4 linked regions of the Arabidopsis thaliana genome follow. The protein of the gene in region 4 interacts with the protein of the main gene of each other region in a pairwise test. Each region holds a gene or a part of one and is shown on either strand. Other genes may lie near its edges.

Evidence for each region.
Region 1: the proteins of SHH2 (region 4) and ATXR5 interact in a two-hybrid assay, tested with the Arabidopsis thaliana proteins (one large-scale study listed by BioGRID).
Region 2: the proteins of SHH2 (region 4) and AT3G07120 interact in a two-hybrid assay, tested with the Arabidopsis thaliana proteins (one large-scale study listed by BioGRID).
Region 3: the proteins of SHH2 (region 4) and AT5G59790 interact in a two-hybrid assay, tested with the Arabidopsis thaliana proteins (one large-scale study listed by BioGRID).

What each region holds. Positions count from the first base shown.
Region 1 is NC_003076.8:3,038,395-3,043,197, forward strand, and holds ATXR5 (TRITHORAX-RELATED PROTEIN 5), read right to left. Parts: upstream 2,768-4,803; 5' UTR 2,577-2,767; coding exon 2,222-2,576; intron 2,122-2,221; coding exon 2,041-2,121; intron 1,777-2,040; coding exon 1,547-1,776; intron 1,452-1,546; coding exon 1,351-1,451; intron 1,265-1,350; coding exon 1,052-1,264; intron 970-1,051; coding exon 810-969; 3' UTR 586-809; downstream 1-585. Other genes in the region: AT5G09780 (Transcriptional factor B3 family protein), read right to left, coding at 1-90; AT5G09800 (ARM repeat superfamily protein), read right to left, coding at 4,729-4,803. UniProt on the Arabidopsis thaliana protein: Histone methyltransferase that specifically monomethylates 'Lys-27' of histone H3 (H3K27me1). Has much higher activity on nucleosomes containing H3.1 than H3.3.
Region 2 is NC_003074.8:2,252,772-2,256,648, forward strand, and holds AT3G07120 (RING/U-box superfamily protein), read left to right. Parts: upstream 1-1,707; 5' UTR 1,708-1,788; coding exon 1,789-2,871; 3' UTR 2,872-2,971; downstream 2,972-3,877. Other genes in the region: AT3G07110 (Ribosomal protein L13 family protein), read left to right, coding at 74-161, 415-561; PAP15 (purple acid phosphatase 15), read right to left, coding at 2,992-3,126, 3,210-3,775, 3,856-3,877.
Region 3 is NC_003076.8:24,088,641-24,094,072, forward strand, and holds AT5G59790 (UPSTREAM OF FLC protein (DUF966)), read left to right. Parts: upstream 1-2,004; 5' UTR 2,005-2,309; coding exon 2,310-2,544; intron 2,545-2,781; coding exon 2,782-2,851; intron 2,852-2,930; coding exon 2,931-3,782; coding exon of another isoform or gene 3,783-3,786; exon of another isoform or gene 3,787-3,925; intron 3,926-4,049; coding exon 4,050-4,164; 3' UTR 4,165-4,528; downstream 4,529-5,432. UniProt on the Arabidopsis thaliana protein: SOSEKI proteins (SOK1-5) locally interpret global polarity cues and can influence cell division orientation to coordinate cell polarization relative to body axes.
Region 4 is NC_003074.8:6,309,796-6,315,088, reverse strand, and holds SHH2 (DNA-BINDING TRANSCRIPTION FACTOR 2), read left to right. Parts: upstream 1-1,682; 5' UTR 1,683-1,907; coding exon 1,908-1,961; intron 1,962-2,313; coding exon 2,314-2,399; intron 2,400-2,495; coding exon 2,496-2,541; intron 2,542-2,640; coding exon 2,641-2,842; intron 2,843-3,007; coding exon 3,008-3,083; intron 3,084-3,199; coding exon 3,200-3,251; intron 3,252-3,334; coding exon 3,335-3,478; intron 3,479-3,562; coding exon 3,563-3,682; intron 3,683-3,817; coding exon 3,818-4,087; 3' UTR 4,088-4,370; downstream 4,371-5,293. Other genes in the region: EMB1865 (CRS1 / YhbY (CRM) domain-containing protein), read right to left, coding at 1-192, 597-1,517; ATSYTF (C2 domain-containing protein), read right to left, coding at 4,833-5,293.

The sequences.
Region 1 (4,803 bases), on a different chromosome or scaffold from region 4:
TGAAGACATGTCGGAACGCTTAAGAACTTTGAAGAAGCTTTCCTGCTTCCTCTCTTCTTTGCACCAAAGAAAATCAGGGTTACTTGCCATCTCTCTCCTTTGAAATGTTCTGATTCAAGCTCTCACCTACAAGTTTTGCTCCTTCAACTTGCTCGTCTCTCTCACTCTCTATCTCCTCTCGTAATATTTTTCTCTCTGTCTTGTTGAGCCGTTGAATATGTAGCAAAGCACCACTTAAAATTTCAAAGATATGATTCAATCAAAGTGGTCAAAGTGAAAAAAGCTTTCCTCTCAATACTGAAACTGTAGTACAATTGTGACTTCATCCTTTTTGGATGTGTTCATTTAATTCATAGCATGCGATTATTATGCATAACAGATGAATCTCTTTTGGCGTTAATACATTTCGGTGACTGGAAATAAGAAGTACGACACTAGGCAAGTACTGTAATTATACTTTTCTGTTTAGGTAATGACTGTATTGGATTAGTTCTTCATTTTGATAAATTTATGAAGAAGAGTATAAAAGAAATTATAACTTATTTGGCAACCACTTAAGGTGGTGAAGTTGTCTCCAAGAACATATAAGAAAAAGGTTAGGATTTCATTTGATATCAAACAAAAGTTCAGCAATTGACATTTGCCACATCTTAATCTCTGTAATGTCATTCCAAATCCAATTATTCTACCGCTAACTTCATAATTAAAGGCCATATATTCAGCAGCCCTACATTTATAATTGACCTGTAATATGGCAACAAAAAGAACATCTGATCTAGAGACTCTGTAGAACTGTTAGAATTGAAAGATCAGAGGAAGTGATGAGTAGGATACTCATGTTCATAACCATTGTAGTCATAATAGAGCCTTTCCCCTTTCGATATATCGCGTGTAGCCACTAGAAGAACTCGACATTCGCCGTTTATGCTATACCTCACGCATTTGCAGTTCTGCTTCTTCTTAGCAACCCTGCAACAATCAGTGTGATGTGATGATTCAATGTTATAAACCAGTTTAGTGGGGGGAAAACAATTTTGAATTTGTTGCTTACGGATTGTGATTGTTAATGCCATTAATGAAGCGAGATATGTTTCCAAACTTGTCTGGACAGATAACAAGAGTCTTTGAAGGATCTTCTGATAAAAGGAGAGTCATGATGCTGTCACAATCGTCTTTTTCTCGGTTTTTCAAGTAATCAACATCCCCTGTATATTCAGCTATGAATGTTAAGTCCTTAATAGGACCATCTGCTTCAACTGTGTAACTGTACAAACGGAATAACCAAAGAACATGTTTACAACTCCACTTTGTCATTATGGGAAGGTTGATCGAAGGAATAGAGAGAGATACCCTTCAAGCGGATCAAATACCACAACGAGAGGAGGGCATTCTCCTCGTCTATACATAGATTGACATTGTTCCAATGTCTCTAAATCTTCTTTGCATAGCACCTGCGAAAAGTAAAAACCGAGATAAACAATCAAGGAAGTAACTTAAAATAAGAGAGTTATGGATAAATGGCTGAAAGATTGTTTTTGTTTATTACCTGCATCCCACCTTTCTCTAACTTGGATTGATTTGCAGACCGAGGAGCCATTCCGGGAACATAATTTAAACCATCGCTGTATTTGATACCCAATGCCGTTAATGCAGAAGCAAGTGTTCCCATTTGTGCAAGCCTCTGATCAGGATCTTCTGATGGAACCAAAGGTAAGAGTTTTCTCCTTCTTTTCTTCACTGTCAAAGAGCAAGATCGTCTCCGCTTTCTAGTTTCTTCTTCAAAACAAAGAAATCTCAATCTCAAACACTTGTTATTAGTTTAATCCTGAAGCATCTATGATCTATGTATATGATATGTATAAGTTCTCATCAATGCTTATTAACCCTACATAAGGTGCAACAAAATTTCAAGCATATAATAGGCCAAAGTTAAGCTATTTCATATTCATCTAACTATTTAATCAAGTGAAACATCTCGTCAGATTCATCAACTCAAGAACTTTATGATCATATCATGAAATCCAAAAACAAAAATCGCACCTTGACTCAATTCCAATTTGTCTGTTTGATGAGTATGCTTCTCAATCCGAAAGAAATGTAAAATCTTCTTCTGAGATAACCCTAAACATTTCACCGGACAAGAGAAAAATCCATTTTTTTATTAAACAAAGAACACAAGAAAATTAGGAAATTTAAAAGCGAAGAAACAAAAAATCCATACTTCTTACAGGTCGTTGGTCGGAACAATCGACACAAAGCCAAGTTCCAATGGGGACACGAACAACAATGGGTCTAAGGCATTTCATGTGAAAGCCTCTATCGCATTTGTCACAGAGAAGAAGCTCATCGTCTCCTTCTCCAGAACCACATTTCTCGCAGGTGACGTTACTGTAGCTGTCTTCGTCTTCTTCTTCTTCTTGTTCAACCACAGGGACAGATTTCGCCATTATCTCAGCCATTGATTTCATCTTCCTCGGTGGTGGAGATTCGGAGGAAGGGCGTCTCGCTGGAGCTTTCGTTCGTCGCCTCGATGAGCAAGGAGACGCCGCAGGGGAGGATGCGTTCCATGTGGCCATGACGGAAGCTCACGACGAAGAGTCGCCGGAGAACGGGATATATGATTTTGATTGGTTGGGGCTAATGTGCACCGCCGCGTGTGCGCACGAAAACTGATGTGCGCATCACCTGGAGTGTAATTTGGGATTCTTCCTTTGAGACTCTTCTTTATCGGCTCTTTTGTTTTTTTGACCTTTGACAAATTCAAAATTACTGGTATGTCTTAAAAGGTTTAAACATTGTAAGTGATACTAATAAATTTACAACCATTAAAGCCTTTTAATTGTTACTAAATTTCTTAACTAAATTTTACTTATTTAATTTACTAGGGATTGATATAAAAATTAATACAGTATTAACTATACTATACAAACGTAATTACAAAAATAGATATCTTTCAATTGAAAAAAAATATATGTTGGTGGGCTCAATACAAACACAGTAAACGTCAATTTCGTCAACTGAGCCACCCCAACGCCAAGCCCAACAGTCGGTCCGCCTCATTGGAGGCTCAAGTTCTTTATTTGACAAGCTAAACCAAAGTGTTCTGGTTTGACCAACAATGTAATATTACATAAATCTGAATCTATAAAATACAAAATTTAATAAATTATGTCTTATGGTTTAACATAATTTTCTGTTTCCGATTTAAGAATTTTTCGCCATATTGATTTTCATAATTTTATATACATATATAATATCTTTCAATTGTAAATTTTTATCTTATAATTTTATATATGAATAGTTTTCTCTATTTTTTTCAAGGTTTTTAATTAATAAGAAATTGCGGTGTTAGCGTTAATGAAATAGTTATGGTATAGACTATAAAGAATAATATACATAATTGGAACAAGTGAAATGGTTGTTTGATATATTCTTGACGATGAGAGCAAAACTTTCTTATCATATTTTCTGAACCGGGGTGTATGCTAGGTAATTTTGTGGCTAAGTCCTTTATTAAGGTTGTTGCACTTCTTCACAAGGATGAAAACTTAAGTCTTGCATCGGTGGATGCTTCAAGATATTCATATATGCTCGCCATGTAAGTTTTGCTTATACTAATACTGTTTAAGTCATAGTATTCCAAAAAAATCAAAGAAATAAGACTATTACTGGTCCATCACAATGGATTCCCTTCGAGAAGCCCGCATCGATCTTTCTATGCCTTATGAGTTTTGTCCCTATGAATATGAGGAATATGAAAAACATTCTTGACCTTGCTTCTACTACCGTTAAAGTATGATGTCTCTCTCTTCTCCATGTATCTTGTTACATTCATGCTTGACCAATTTGTTTGTGTTTCATTCATGACCAGTTTGCTTGTGTGTTGTAGATGATGCGTCATTGCTTCGATTATTGGCGTAGTAATGAATTTCCCTTGTTTAAAAACCTTGTTAAACTATCGTTTGAGTCTAAGACGAAAAAAGGTTGGAAAGTTCTTTGGACTCTGATAAAAAGCTCTCCCAATCTAGAAACTTTGATCCTCAAGGTTTGTATGTATAATATGATCTCTTTTTCTCTTTCTCAATTATAAATTTAATCTCGGAGTTTCACTTACTGTGTGTTCTTTTCTTTTCTATCCGTTGTTTCAGGGTTTTCAGTGTGTAAGTACTTGTGGGTATAGCATTGATGGAAATACGTTGAAGGTGTTGGAGTTATACGGGTGTAGAGGGAATCTTAGAGAAGTCGAACAAGTGAGGCTGTTCTGTCGGAAAGTGAATTTCTTCAAGTAATGAAAGTGGAAATTGGTACTAAGGTTGATGTTGACAAGAAATTGCAACTCACCAAAGACCTCCTTCCTTATCCTAACGTTCCTCCAAATGCCAAATCCACTTCTTGTAATCTTTTAAATCCAATTTTGTTTTTGACTGCTCAATCAATCAAGATTCAGTTTGTTTTAGATACAAAGACAACATCTCCCTTGATAGAGCATATTGATAGCTTTACTTTTAATACGATTTTGCCAAGTCCAAACATAAAATTCTGGTTTAGAGTATCAACATTGCAATGATACTAGTACTAAAGAACATTGCAATTTATTCTCAAAGTTCTAATGGCATTGGCCGTGATAACAATTCCATTCACCTTCCAAAAAATCTCTTTCCTTACAACTTGAATTTTTTTTACCAACAAGTAATAATCCCTAAAGAAGTTAATACGGAGGGGGGATAATCAAAACGGCATAATATGTGTCGTTTTGGTTTCGTATACCGAAAGGCAAGATCTTGAGTTCACCTTGAACACCTT
Region 2 (3,877 bases), 4.1 Mb from region 4:
TTTTTCAGTTTCCTTCATTTATACTTACAAGTAGCTACAGTCTCTGAAACTTTGATTCTTCCTTCTTGATCAGGGTCTTGAGGCTGCAGGCTGGACACAAATACTGTCTGTTGGGTCGCCTTTCTTCTGAAGTCGGGTGGAACCACTACGACACCATCAAGGTATGCTTCACTTCACCTTTAGTTTCTCTTGTGTACTGTTCACTTTTACTGATGTGATGCTTTCTGTACCTAAGCTGATTTGAACATCGTCATGAAAAGCTTTTAAGAACATAAGTTCCTGTCATGCGTGTATTATAGCAATAATATGCATACATCACATAACTGTACTGTTTTAGGATATCTTTAGATTGGATCATGTTTTAGTTAGAAGAATGGATCATAAGCTAATGAATGTGTGTTTGATGAAAATGAGCAGGAGCTGGAGAACAAGAGAAAGGAAAGAGCTCAAGCTGTTTATGAGAGAAAGAAGCAACTTAGCAAACTCAGAGCTAAGGCCGAGAAGGTTGCTGAAGAGAAGCTTGGATCTCAATTGGATGTTCTTGCACCCGTCAAGTACTGAATTCAATCAGTTTATCGTATTTGAATGTTTTTGCAAGTTTTGCTCAGACATTATACTATTATATTACGAGGTTTTGTTGTATGCGATTTTGACTTAGTTTATTTCTTGAATTCGACTTTACTTAGTTTATTTCTTGAATTCGTCTTTTGTCATGCGCCTCCTCCAAAACGTTTCGTGATTTATTTTTCCTCTGCATATATCATCCTCTGTAATCTGTATCATGCCGAAGTCTTAGAATCTCGTAGATTTTCCTTTTGGCAAATACTTAAAGAGCTATGTCACATTGAAGTTTGGATGTGATAAATTTGTTTCGTGGGCCATGGAAAAAAAGGAAAAAGTAAACGTCAACAGCAGGGTTCGAACCTGCGCGGGCGAAGCCCAACAGATTTCAAGTCTGTCTCCTTAACCACTCGGACATATTGACTGTTTGTTTAATGAACTGAGATATTACTAAATATACTTATAAACTTTGTACCATTCATGGATTCACATTCAAAACTATAAGTACTTTTTGTTTTGTGCCAAACAAAAAGAATCAATTTTAATTTGCACACTCAAATATTAAGTGAGTAGTGGCAAAGTGTTAAAAATTAGTATGATGAGCAGAGAGAAGCACCCAAAATGTGTCAAGCCAAATAAGGTTTCAAAATCAGGTATTGCATGATCACCATGGTCCATGGCTCTAATCATCCGAAATAATCCTCTAAGAAGTTCTGTTCCTCACAAATATGCAACCCACGATATATTGTTCTTATTTCTTGGATATATGTTCATAAATTCTCTATCACTTCTCTACTTTTCTTGCCCAACCATATGTACAAGTGTTGCGACCATCTCCACAAACCTAATTAAAACTGGTCCTTCTGTTATAAAAAGTTGAATTACATTTTGATCATCAAAATTAAAATATTGAAATAGAATTTTCAACTTTCCTCGAAAAGATCATAGAGTAATCCTTAATTTAGATAATTCTTTTTCACCTTAAGACTCGTTCTTCCTTACTCTTTCTAACCATTCCAAAACACTTTTACCCACAAAATTTTCTTTCAATTTAAGAAGGTAAATGAAAAAAGAAAGCAAAAGTTTAAATGATTAAAAGGTTAAAACACAATCCCAAATTTTCTACCACTTTTTTCTCATTTTTCTGAATTCTTTCATTAAGCAAATCCAATGTTTTCGACTCTCTAAATTCAATGCACGAGGTAACATTTCGATGCATGGAGTTAAATGTCAGCGTTAAAGAGCCGTAGTAACTCGTTAGCCGGACTAAGTCTAGACGCTGTGCTTGGCGGCGAGATCCTTATAGAACCGCCATCTCTACCGTCGCCACCACCTTTACCATCAAAATCTCTTGTACCGCACCGTCCAACAAGCCAAACCCTTTTTGATATCATACGTGAGGAATACGCCAAAGAAGGGCACAAAGATCGGACCACGTGGCAGATTTTCCGTGAGAAACTCCGTCTTAAACGAACCGGTTCTGCTTGGACCTCGTCTCTTCATATCCCTGCTTCGGATATCCTTATCCCTAATCCCAAACACATTGGAACAGCGTTCCGGTCTCACTCCGCCGGTTTAAACATCCGAGATCTGGTTCACGCTATACCGATGTCAGATCCACCTGGTTCTTCAGGACGCGCTATGTTCACGCGCGGATCTTCAATGCGGGTCGGGTCGAGTAAAAACCCGGACGATTCGCCTGACATCAGCGTTCTTGAAGATGGGCCACCGTCTAGGAGTTTTAAGCCGCAGTTATCACGGCACGATTCCGTTAGAGATCACAGCGAAGGCGAAGAAAACAACAGACGACGTCATCCGATCGTCACGTTCGTGGAAGAGAGACAAATGTCGGCGAGAGAAGCGGTTGCTGCTCAAGAAGCGGCGGAAGCTGAAGCGGCGGCGGCTGGAGGAAGCGAAGATGAAGACGACGATGACGAAGAGGATGATTCAGGAGAAACAGAGGAGATGAAATCATCTTCAGCTTCTGAGCCGAAACAGACGATGTCTCTGATGGATCTGTTGGAAGAAACAGATCGACAAATGGGATTAACAGGATCGAGATACGCCATGGATGAAGATGAAGAGTACGAAGAAGACGAAGAAGATGAGAACAACGAGGAAGAAGGAGATAGTCATGGAGGAGGAGAAGGAGAGCTTAGTTGCTGCGTTTGCATGGTGAAAATAAAAGGCGCTTCTTTTACACCTTGTGGTCACACGTTTTGTAAGCTCTGTTCTAAAGAGCTTATGGCTCAGAAAGGTCACTGTCCTGTTTGCAGCAGCTTCGTTCTCGAGTTCCTTGAGATCTTTTAGAAACAAATTTTGATACTTTTTGTTTATTTTTGGAGAAATTTTGAAACTTTTATTTTTCTTGGGAGAAACTGTTACATGATCAAAGTCCCAAAAATTTTATTAGACCATCTCTGTTTGATCTTAGCAATGGTTAACAAGGCGGTGGTGAAGCGGACATCGATCAGGTTGTCTCACAATATAAATCTGATCTCCGACTTCACTGCTCGAGTCTTGATTCCTATACCATGTCCATAGTGCCCATGTCTCGTTCTTCATCTGCATAATGATTAATCTTTTTAGTTATAAACTTAAGGCTAAACTCTGTTTTGATGCGTTAAGGAGTTAACTAAAAACAGTACCTCTAGGATTCCATGGCCAAAGCTGCTTTCTCTCAGGGCACTATAATCAGGTTGCCGATCCCAACAGAACTTATCAGACGGCGTGAAGTTCCACGCGCAAAACCCACCCATGACTGGATCGGGCGTGGTTAACGGCTCTGGACATTTACCGGGGTCATCTGCATGCTCGATCGCCATCTTTTCACGGTTACCTCCATCACCAATCACAATGTAAACTGGACCACATGGGTCCAGTTCGTAATTGTATACTCTGTTCGACCGTTCATAAGCATGCACCTGGAAATAAGTTTTCACAAAAGAAAAAACATAACGGTCCATCATATCAAATCGAAAGGCAAAGAAAGATAAGTGACAGCTTTTTGGGTCGGGTCTTACATGTCCGTTAAAGACAATGTCGGTACCATAAGAATAAAGTAATTCCTCCATAGCTTCTTTCATACATTCTGCTTCTCTGTAATGCGCTGTATAAGAACTATACCAAGGTGGATGCCAAGAAGCTACTAACCATGGAGTTACCGATCTATCGACTTTAGCCAAATCCTTCTTTAACCATTCATATTGTTCCGCTGCAAAACACAAGACAAAATTGTTAAAACAGAGTGCAAACAGTAAATTAAGAGGACATAGTTTGAGAATATTATAAAACCTGATTTGTCATACGCAATGTA
Region 3 (5,432 bases), on a different chromosome or scaffold from region 4:
TCTTGTTTGACACTTCACTTACCAGGGAACTGGTGTTTGGGGCTAGCTAGAGTAACAATAAATGGAAGAAATAAGAATGTATTGGATGTATCAAAACAGTCAAAATGTGGATAAATAAGCAATATGTATTATGTATATGTTTGAACCCCCACGTGAAATGGAAATAGAAGGGGTCATGGGTGACTTTTATTATTTGGCCGTTAAGTTGGACGACCGACCGCATTTTTGTCAGCTTTCATATTCGTCACCTCCCTAAAGCACAAAAAAAAAACTTTGTAATTCGAAGTAATATTTCCTACAACTAAATTATTAATGCTTCCTAAGATTATCTAAAATAACAACCAACTGACATGAAAAAAAAAAATCAAAAAGAATAAACACACATGAATTTCTAAATTGATGTCAAATGATGCATCAATGGTTCTATTGATCTATTAGAGTTCTTTTTTTTCTTTGGTCGTATGATTACCATTTAGAGCCATAAAGTGTACTTATTATCCAAATTCATTGAAGAACATAAAATGACAAGAAAAAAAAAACAAAATCCGAAGAAAAACAAATGTGGTATGTTTGTGTATTAATAAGCGAAACCTATTGATATCTCTCAGTCATAGCAGGAGAGTCGTCGGATGAGTGGAAGAGAATATCTGGATTTTATGAGCGTATCTATGTCCAGTCACCGTATACATTTACATTTTGCAGGTGATGAGATCAACTTCTTAAATTTGATCTCAACCGTTCATCACAAAATCTCTTCAAAGGACCACAATTATCTCGAGTGTCCGTGAACTCCTGTCATGATACCTCATGAAAAGTAAACAAACAAAAAAAGTCAAACTATAACCTTTAAGACATAATCATTCAAATGAAAAGGGCATCCAAATAACAAAAATAAAATTGGATTTATTTCTTGTCAACAAGTTCTTTTCTATTAAATTCATTTGAGCCCCGCATAAGAAAACGTAGGTGGAACAATCAATTCGTGGTGAATATTAACATATCTATTATAATTATCTATTGTAAATTTGTGACCAAAACGTTATAAATAGCCCAAGTTATCATTAAACTGTTTTATACTAATAAGCAAGCTTACTAATTAACGTTAAAGTCTAAATTTTTATGCCTACCGTGTTTTACTCCGTAAACACTTTTTTTTTATTACTTTACAGACTTACGAAATGTGTGACACATGGCAAAGGCCCGAGTAAAACAAGTTTATGAAACGGACATAACATTTAAAATCATCGGTTTCATATTTCGTAGTCAAAGTTAGGTATGAAGAGAAACTACGTGGACTCGTTTAGTCAACTTGATCACCATTTTAAAAATATTTACTCCTTTCATTTATTGTACGCAAATCTTACTTACATATAAAAATTTTAGACACGAAACGACGTCGCGCTTGACTCAATGTTTGTATTAGTGTAATAAATTAGTTTTTTTTATATTTTTGTTGTTATTCGTAAACTATACATAATTCAGATTAGTTTGGTTTATTACTTTATTCTATCCTTCTTTCTTCTTTGGGGTAAAAGGCTCGTACGAATACGCAAAATGAATATTGATCTCCATATACAAACATTTTATTTCGTATTACTATATGTAACTTAGAAAATTATAAAACTGACAGGAATTCAAACGGAACAGAAGTTTATAAGATCATTTACTTGATGATATTTTGATCAAAATAGAGTATATGAAAATACAGAAACTTCCAACTGACTTACACAAAAATATATACCAATATTTAACAATAAATAGACCAAAATGGCATTATTATCCAATTCGTTTTGAAAAATTGAGCGTTATTCTATTGAATACCTAAAGTATAGTCTAGTTCAAAAAAAAAAAAGAACTTAATAAGAATCTCTACCAATCTTATAAAATTTTCAAAATTTGAAAACATACTCCATAAAAAGCCAGAAAATAATTCAATTAGTCATGGCCGAATTTAAATAAAATTGACTTTGGTTGGAAATGCTTTTTCTACTGGCGCAAGTAAGAGCCGATACATGTTTATATCAGAAAAGCCAGAAGAGAGAGAGATTGAGAGCAAAGTTTCATTTGTTGTGTAGCCCTTTGTCTCTCGCATCCTCATTTTTCAAAATCTCACTCTCTCTTTCCTCTCTGCTTTCATTTGCTTTCTATAAATCCAAACTCTTAAACAAAAGATTTTGTCTTTCCATCAACATCAACTCCCTCATAAACTCCCACAAAGACTCTCACTTTAAAACTCCTTCACTACTTCGTGTTCTTCGTCTCTTTTTCTTTTTTTCTTTCACTTTTCCATAAGCAAAGAAACAAAAAGGATGAGTTCAAGAGTGTTCAGAGCAACACCAGATAACAACTATTTGGTCCCCAGGAGATCCAAAGACCAACAAGACACCAGTCCCGACCGTAACCGAATCTGGTCTGAGCCTCGTCTTAAACCCGTCGTTAACCGGAAAGTCCCAGTCGTCTATTATCTCTGCCGGAATGGTCAGCTTGACCATCCTCATTTCATCGAAGTCACTCTCTCTTCCCACGATGGTCTTTATCTCAAAGGTAATAATAAATCAACCCAAAAACTGATGAAAACGCTTTTTCAAGAAAGTAGCTTTTTGAGTTCAAAAGGTTTTCAAACTCTCTGTTCTCTTTGGCTTTTTACTCTTTATTATTTCTGAAACATAACAGTGAAAAAGGCGGCAAGTTTTCGAATTGTATCTTTATTTCAAAATCAAGAACTTCATTGAGCAACTAAAAAAGTTTAAAACTTTAATTTGGTTTTTTCCAAATTCTCAGATGTGATAAACCGCTTGAATGATCTAAGAGGGAAAGGCATGGCAAGTCTCTACTCTTGGTCTTCGAAACGGTAAACGATTCTCCTCCACCGTCGGATCTCTATAAAGCCTCTTCCTTTTAAAATCTCTTGACATTTTTTTATTGTTCAGGAGCTACAAAAATGGATTTGTCTGGCACGATTTATCGGAGGACGATTTCATCTTCCCTGTTCAAGGTCAAGAATATGTTCTCAAAGGCTCTGAGGTTCTTGATTCTTGTCTTATCTCAAACCCAAGAAGCCTCCTCGAAACGTCGTCGTTTAGAGACCCAAGATCTTTAAATCCAGATAAAAACTCCGGCGATGATATCCCGGCGGTGATAAATCGACGGAGGAACCAGTCTTGGAGCTCTATCGATCTCAGCGAGTACAAAGTGTACAAAGCAACCGAGTCAAGCGCCGAGTCAACTCAAAGACTCGCTGCGGACGCTTCTACTCAGACTGACGATAGACGACGGAGGAGAAGACCGGCGAAAGAGGAAATAGAAGAGGTGAAAAGTCCGGCGAGTTATGAGAATCAGAGTACAGAGCTGAGCAGAGACGAGATATCTCCTCCACCGTCGGATTCAAGTCCCGAGACATTAGAGAATCTGATCAAAGCCGATGGACGGCTGATATTGCGTCCTAGCGAAAGCAGCACCGATCATCGGACGGTCGAGAGTTTATCCAGCGGAAGAATGAGAGCTTCGGCTGTGTTAATGCAGCTGATATCGTGTGGTACGATGTCGTTTAAAGAATGTGGGCCTGTTTTGTTGAAAGATCAAGGGCTGGCGTTGAACGGGCGTAGCGGGTGTACGATAACGCGAGGAGCAGAGGATAATGGTGAGGAGAGGGTAGATAAGGAATTAAAGAGTTTTGGAAGGGTACAATTGGAAGATAAGGAGTATTTTAGCGGCAGTTTGATTGAGACCAAGAAGGAGCTTGTTCCTGCTTTGAAAAGATCTTCTTCTTACAATGCTGACAGGTAAAAAAATAAAACATCAAGCAGTTCGATTTCTCTTTAGATGAAACGGCACGTAGTTCTATTTTAACTTTTATGAATTTACCCGTACATTGGCAATTATTGGTTATGGTGTGTTGAACTGTTGATTGAAAGAGCTGAAAATGGTAAAGTTTGTAGAAGTACATTTTGGGGTGTCTTTCAAACGTCTTCTCAATTTTTAAAAGTTCTAATAGTTTTTTTTAATGAAATGAAAGGTTATAATAATTGATATTTGATAAATTTTATTAGGTGTTCAAGAATGGGACCAACGACGGAGAAGGATGAGGAAGAAGCGGTTCGAGCTAAGTGCATTCCGAGAAAACCAAAGCCGGTGGCTAAAAGGAACAATGGTGGGCAGCAGTAACAAAAACGGCACGATGAGTCTAACAAGCTTATTTTGGGTTTAAGTAGAAGAGAAAAGTAGAATAGGGAATGATGAGTTTGTAAAGCATTGTGAATTGTGTAGGTAAACTATAACAATTCCTTTGCATGCTAAAAAAATTAAGAGTTAACATGATGGGTGAATATATAATATATAATGTTGTAGTCTGAGCCTAGGTGTCTTTTGAGGTTAATTTCAATCTGGTTTTCTTTTATAACCCCAATATTACTTTATCGTAGTGATTGGGAACCTAAATTACAAATTTCAGTTAGTTTTGACCATTTTTCATACTTTTGGGGTTTCATTGATAGCTCCTTTCAGTTTAGAGTAAAATATCAAATGATCATAGGAAGCTTCTTTTTCCAACATGCATAGTAGTAGTACTACTAGTAACCATAGAAATTAAGGTGTAGATATTTACGATTTTGGACCAAATACATAAAGAACAACAAAAATATATAGATTTGTAGGGAAAACGCCCTCCAACAAATTGACTTGGCGTGATTAGTTTACAGAAATTACCAGAAATACATCGAAAACATTTATTTATATACTATTGAATACTCCATTGAAATGTGGTAAAGTGATAGTTTTCCTTGAAAGTGTAAATAGCTTAGAGTCAATGTTGGGGTGGTACCTTGAGGCTACAAATTATTCAGGGAAAAGTCTCTATGCCCTTTAATTCTGGCCTATTTGGCTTTTGTGGCGTCAACTCCAATATCAATTTGCAGCACGTACACAATATTTTAAAAATAATCGTACCAAAAAGAAATTTCAATAACCAACAACAATGTTGTCTTTTGACTTTGAAATCTTAGAAGTTTCCACTTACCCATTTCTAGAAGTCTTAAATAGCACTGTTATTCAAAATCTTTTTCATTGTACATCATTAAACTCTATGCAAAAGGAGAAATACATTATAAATTCCCACAATCTGCATTCATTAGTATGGAAACCAGACTTTTAAGAATTTGGTTTATTTTGTCAAAGTTCCACATCAAAAAAGGAATTAAATATAGAATTACACATACAAAGCATATGATAATTCACTTATTGATATTTGCTTTTGAGTTAAAAGTAAAGGTTGACAAAAATAAGAAAAAGGTTAAGACCAAATTCAAAATAAAGTACACTGTATTATATTTGACATATATCTAGTCTATTGCGGTACATTCAAGGATAGATATAGAGATAATTATATAAATATACATAAGATCTTGCAGTAGGTGACTGACTTCATTGAAGTGAAT
Region 4 (5,293 bases):
TACCAAAGGTGCACTTTGGTTATCTTTGGCATTTGTTGCTTCATCGCCAGCAGAAGATACATCTGGGACAAAAAGAGTCTCTTTAGGACCGGCCATTTGATTAGAGATCACAGGAGGTCCTTTATAGTCAAGTCCACGATAAACCACCATTACACTTCCGGCCCTCCATATCACCATTCCACCAGTTCGACGCTGCCCATTAGAGTAATTCAATCAGTTTTTTTTTAAACCTAAAGTTAAGACATGCATCTCCTGCACAGTCTTGTTACTCAAAGAATTCTAACAGCATGCTCAGCTCCATCCACTCTAGTTAATCAACACCTCAAATTCACCTTATTCACAACTATATAATCGTTCCCAAGAAAGATCTAACGTTTTTCACAAATTTCCTACTGTTATTATAAAAGCTTTATAACCATTCTATTTCAGAGCTTAGGTACTTCAGAGTCTCTTACTATCCTATAAAGATCATGTCACTTCCGCAAAGCTTATCCCCAATAGATAATGAAAACCGCTCTCTCTTGGAATAATCTCGCACCTCAAATTTCGCTAACCTACTGTTCTAATCAATGAAGTATTCAAGAGAACTAACGAACCTCAACAATCTCATGGGCCGTCTTCATGTCACGAGCAAGCACTTCGTGGAACTTTAGCCTCACAAGCTCTTCTTTCCTCCAAGTATCATAAATCTTCTCCATCACTGCCTGCGTTAGCCCAGCTTTTGGTATATTGATCCTAACCCTCAGATACATTCCATCCCTCCTTAACCGCCGTAACTCAGAATCCTCAACGGTGAGCTCCGCCAGTGATGGAGCTCTAGCTCTCCTCTTCTGCATCACCGCCACTCCTCCTTCTCCTACTACTCTCTCCGCCGCCTGCTCTTCCTCATTTTTCTCCCATGGCAATAATACCTCATCCTCTTCCTCACTCTCTTCTCCCTCAGCAAGCATCATATCAGGTCTCACCCACTCTCTCTTCAACAAATCCCCCAATCTCTCTTCTCCAGTCACCGGCTTCACATCTCCGCCGTTAATTCCACCTCCCTCGTCATCTTCCACATCGTCCTCATCATCCGAACCTAATCCTAAATTCCGTAGCCGAAGAACAATCCTCTCAATCGCGTTTTGTCCTTTATCCTTCTCCAAATACCGAAGTTTCGCTTCCGCTTCCTCCTCCGCAGACCGAATTCTATCTCCGCCGTTGTTTTCACCACCTTTCTTCCCGGCATGATCACCGCCAGCTCCGGAGGATGACGGAGGCCACTTATCTATCCAAGGAGGAGTAGGTTTATGATTACGTTGATCTAATCGACGATTGTTATTGCTCCTGTTGTTGCTACGCTCGCTTGTACGCAGCGAAGAGAATGGCCGAACAATTTGTTGACGCGAGGGTTTCACACCCAACGAATAGAAGAGCAATGCGTGAAGCGAAGGAGAGGAACAATAGCGAGAGCTAGAGGTCAGAGGAAGAGAGCTTCTCAGTGGCATTTCCGTAAAATTAAGTGGAGCCAAAGCCATTGACGACACTAAGAAATTTTTTTGGAAAAAAAAGCTTCAGCGAAGTGTCTTCTTCGCCATCGTTTTGGATACTGAGAAATAAGTTTCAGGCGGATAAGCTGGATTTACTCGACCATACGGATAAGATTTTTGTATCGGTTTTAGGAAAATGGGCCTTTAATGGGTTTTAAAAGCCCATTACTACATGTTAAGTTTAAAAAAATTACACAGGTGAAAAGTTATATAAGCGACGGAGTCGGGTCTGAGTAAAACCGGTTTCGTTGTCGTTGGGTCACCGGCCGTACTAGAGAGATTCACCGTGAATTCGAATATTAAGTGAGAGAAGCTCCGATTGATTTCACTTTCTGCCGCCAATTTTTGTTTTTTCTTCGGTGAGACGAAGAAGATACCATGGGTCGACCTCCCAGTAATGGCGGTCCGGCGTTTCGATTTATCCTGCCTGAGGTTTATCTCGATTCTTTGTAATGTGTTGCTTTCACGGATTTTGAGCTCCCAGAGCTGAAAAATCTGATTTTTGTGTCGGTTTTGTTCCTTAGGATTTAGGTCTTCTTTTTGGGTTCATGATAGGGTTTAGATCCTGAAGTCCAATTGAATTTTTGTAATTAGCTAGTAGAAACTTGAAGACAATTCGATGTATGTTCTGAAATCCATTGGCTTTACTTTATTAAGTAATGTTTAAGAGTTTAGATTTGATAATACATAAGTTTTTCTATCTATCTGTTGTTCTATGGTTTTGTGACTTCTTTTGAAGAGGTTTTATCTTGTTTGTTATAGCTAATCTTCAATTGTTATGAAGGTAACGGAGATGGAAGCAATTTTGCTACAGCATAATACAGCAATGCCAGGTCGACATATTCTTGAAGCTCTTGCTGATAAGTTTAGGTATTTTACTTGTTGTTGCTCAATTCCTTGGCCTGAAAGTGATTTTGTGTCTTTATCATCTAAAATGTGGTTACTTTTTGTTATCTGTTGTCTCAGTGAATCACCTGAGCGGAAGGGGAAAGTTGTTGTGCAGTTCAAGCAAGTACTGGCTTTTTCCTTCTTGATTCTTAAGTTTTATCAGACAGAGTCTGTTGGGTTTGCTTTTAAAAGTTAATGGGAATGTTGTTTTAATGCATCACAGATCTGGAACTGGTTTCAAAATAGGCGATATGCTTTACGAGCAAGGGGAAACAAAGCTCCTGGGAAGCTAAATGTATCTTCCATGCCGCGTATGGATTTACCAAATCAGATGAGAAGTGTGATTCAACCATTATCAGTTCCTAAAACCACTCATATGACTGGAAATTTACCCGGCATGACGCCTGCCCCTTCTGGTAGTTTAGGTGCTTTATTTATTCTACTCTCAGTAAAATAGGTTGAGAAGGTTATTTATTGGAATAGGTTTCATTGGTTTTTTCAGTTTTAGTTTTTTCTCCATAAGTCTAGATCAGTATGGCTGATATTGCACAGATGCCATTTTCGTAACTGTTTACTGCTTTTCCTCATAGTTCCCGGTGTCATGAGGAGTGGTTCAGACAACTCTTACTTGGAATTTGAAGCCAAATCTGCCAGGGATGGTGCATGGTGATTCCCTTGCATTCAATCTTCAGTATTTTTTTTGCTGACTTATGATACTTTGTAACAATATCATTACATTCCACTGGTTTTCTCTGATATGTAACTCTCTTGCTTACTTACAGGTATGATGTGCAAGCTTTCCTAGCTCATAGAAACTTGGAGATTGGTGATCCGGTAATTCCTAACCAACCTCTTGTTGACTTATTTGTTCCCCTTTTTTGTTTTGCTAACAACAATCTTTCTGTTGGGTATTTCAGGAAGTGCAGGTTCGATTTGCGGGTTTCGAAGTTGAAGAAGATGAATGGATAAATGTCAAAAAGCATGTAAGACAACGGTCTCTCCCATGTGAAGCATCAGAATGTGTTGCAGTTCTTGCTGGAGATCTCGTCCTTTGTTTCCAGGTTTAGAACTTCGCTCTCTAAGCATTTAGTGATAGGTGTCATGTTAGTTTATCCCTGACTAGAACTATGTTATAACATCTTCAGGAAGGAAAAGATCAAGCTCTTTACTTTGACGCCATTGTTCTTGACGCACAGAGAAGAAGACATGATGTCAGAGGTTGTCGTTGTAGGTTCTTGGTGCGTTACAGCCACGACCAGTCCGAGGTTGGACGATCATCTCTCTCTCTCTCTCTCTATCCCTTGCGGTTTTATTTACCCGTCAGCTCCATTTCATGGTTTAGACCATAAAGCAAAACCCTCCTCACTCACCTATTTTGGATTTCTTTTCCGTTATCCCAGCAGGAAATCGTTCCCTTGAGGAAGATTTGTCGGCGGCCCGAGACAGATTACAGGCTACAACAACTTCACAACGCCGTAAACGATTTGGCTAACTCAAATCAGCATCAGATACCCGCTCTAGATGCGGCTGCAAAAACCCCTCTGTCACTACCCGGAGCTACAGTTCCCATTGTTGCACCCGAGTCAAAAGATCCGAGCCTGAGTGCCACTCCAGCCACTTTGGTTCAGCCTAGCTCCAATGCAGCTACTGTTCCCGCTGGTTCAGCCTAGGCCATGTAATTTCTATCCCCGTTTGTAACAGCCATTTTTCACAGTTACTAGTAGAGGTTAACTTGGGATCATATGCATTGTACTCTCACACAATGAATTAGTCATCTAAAGCTGTATCATGCCATGTTACTTGATCCTTCATGTATGATGGAATATTTATGGTTTAGTCCGGTTTATTCATCATCTGTTGATGGTCACCGGTTTTTTACTCTTTTGAACAAACATGCTCGAATCATGTGGATTTATTCTTTTCAAGGCTTAAGTTTACAAGTTAGGAATCTTACCTCGAGTCATTTAGCTTTACAACATTTGTGGGGATGAGAAATTAACCAATTATTAATCTGAAAAATATCTCACTGTGCTGAGGAGACTAGATAACACTTGAGGTCAAAAGAACTATTTTGCTTCTGTAAATGACTGATCAGCCTAGACACAGAACAACAGTTTTACAAACAATTACAACAGTTTTTATTGTTACAGAATAACAAAGGGAATAATAAGAAACTTACAGATTTGATATGTTACATATCATATGTATCTAACTTTGTAACAAGGGCTCAACTCTCTCTGAACATTTTATCCAATGCCCCTACATATCTATCTATATACATCATAGATGATTGTTTGATCGGGAAAAACAAGTGACTACATTGGTGCGGGTAATCTCCGGTTATAGGAGGATCCTGTCCCCGAACCCGAGCCTGATCGAGATGGGGAATGAGACGGGGCTTGAACTGGGGACGAGTTAAGAATCTCGAGACGGGGCTTGAGCTGGGGATGAGTTAAGAATCTCCTTACCAAGGTCTTTGATCTTGTTGATAAGCAGCGATTGCTCTGTCTGAAGCTGGAGCAAATACTGTTCTTGTTCGTCCTCCAAACTTTCCAGCTCTTCTAAAGCTTCAGCAAGACCTTCAAGATCTCCATCGTCAATCAAATTCTGAAACTTTATCATCACCTGCTTCATCTGGTTGGACAGTAACAGAGCTTTGTTAAACGGTGTGCCAGGACCTGCGCTGGCGCGTCTCTGAATCTCCGTGACTTTCCTCGTGACTCTGACATGGACCTCCCCGTGTTTCACTCCTTGGAGAATTATCCACTTATCGGCAGTCTCATTTGGCTTTAACCCTTGGTACTCCACAACGCAGTTACCGATGCTTGAAGTCGGAAGCAGAGTGTTATAGTCTTTCACATGTAGCTCCAAGGAGC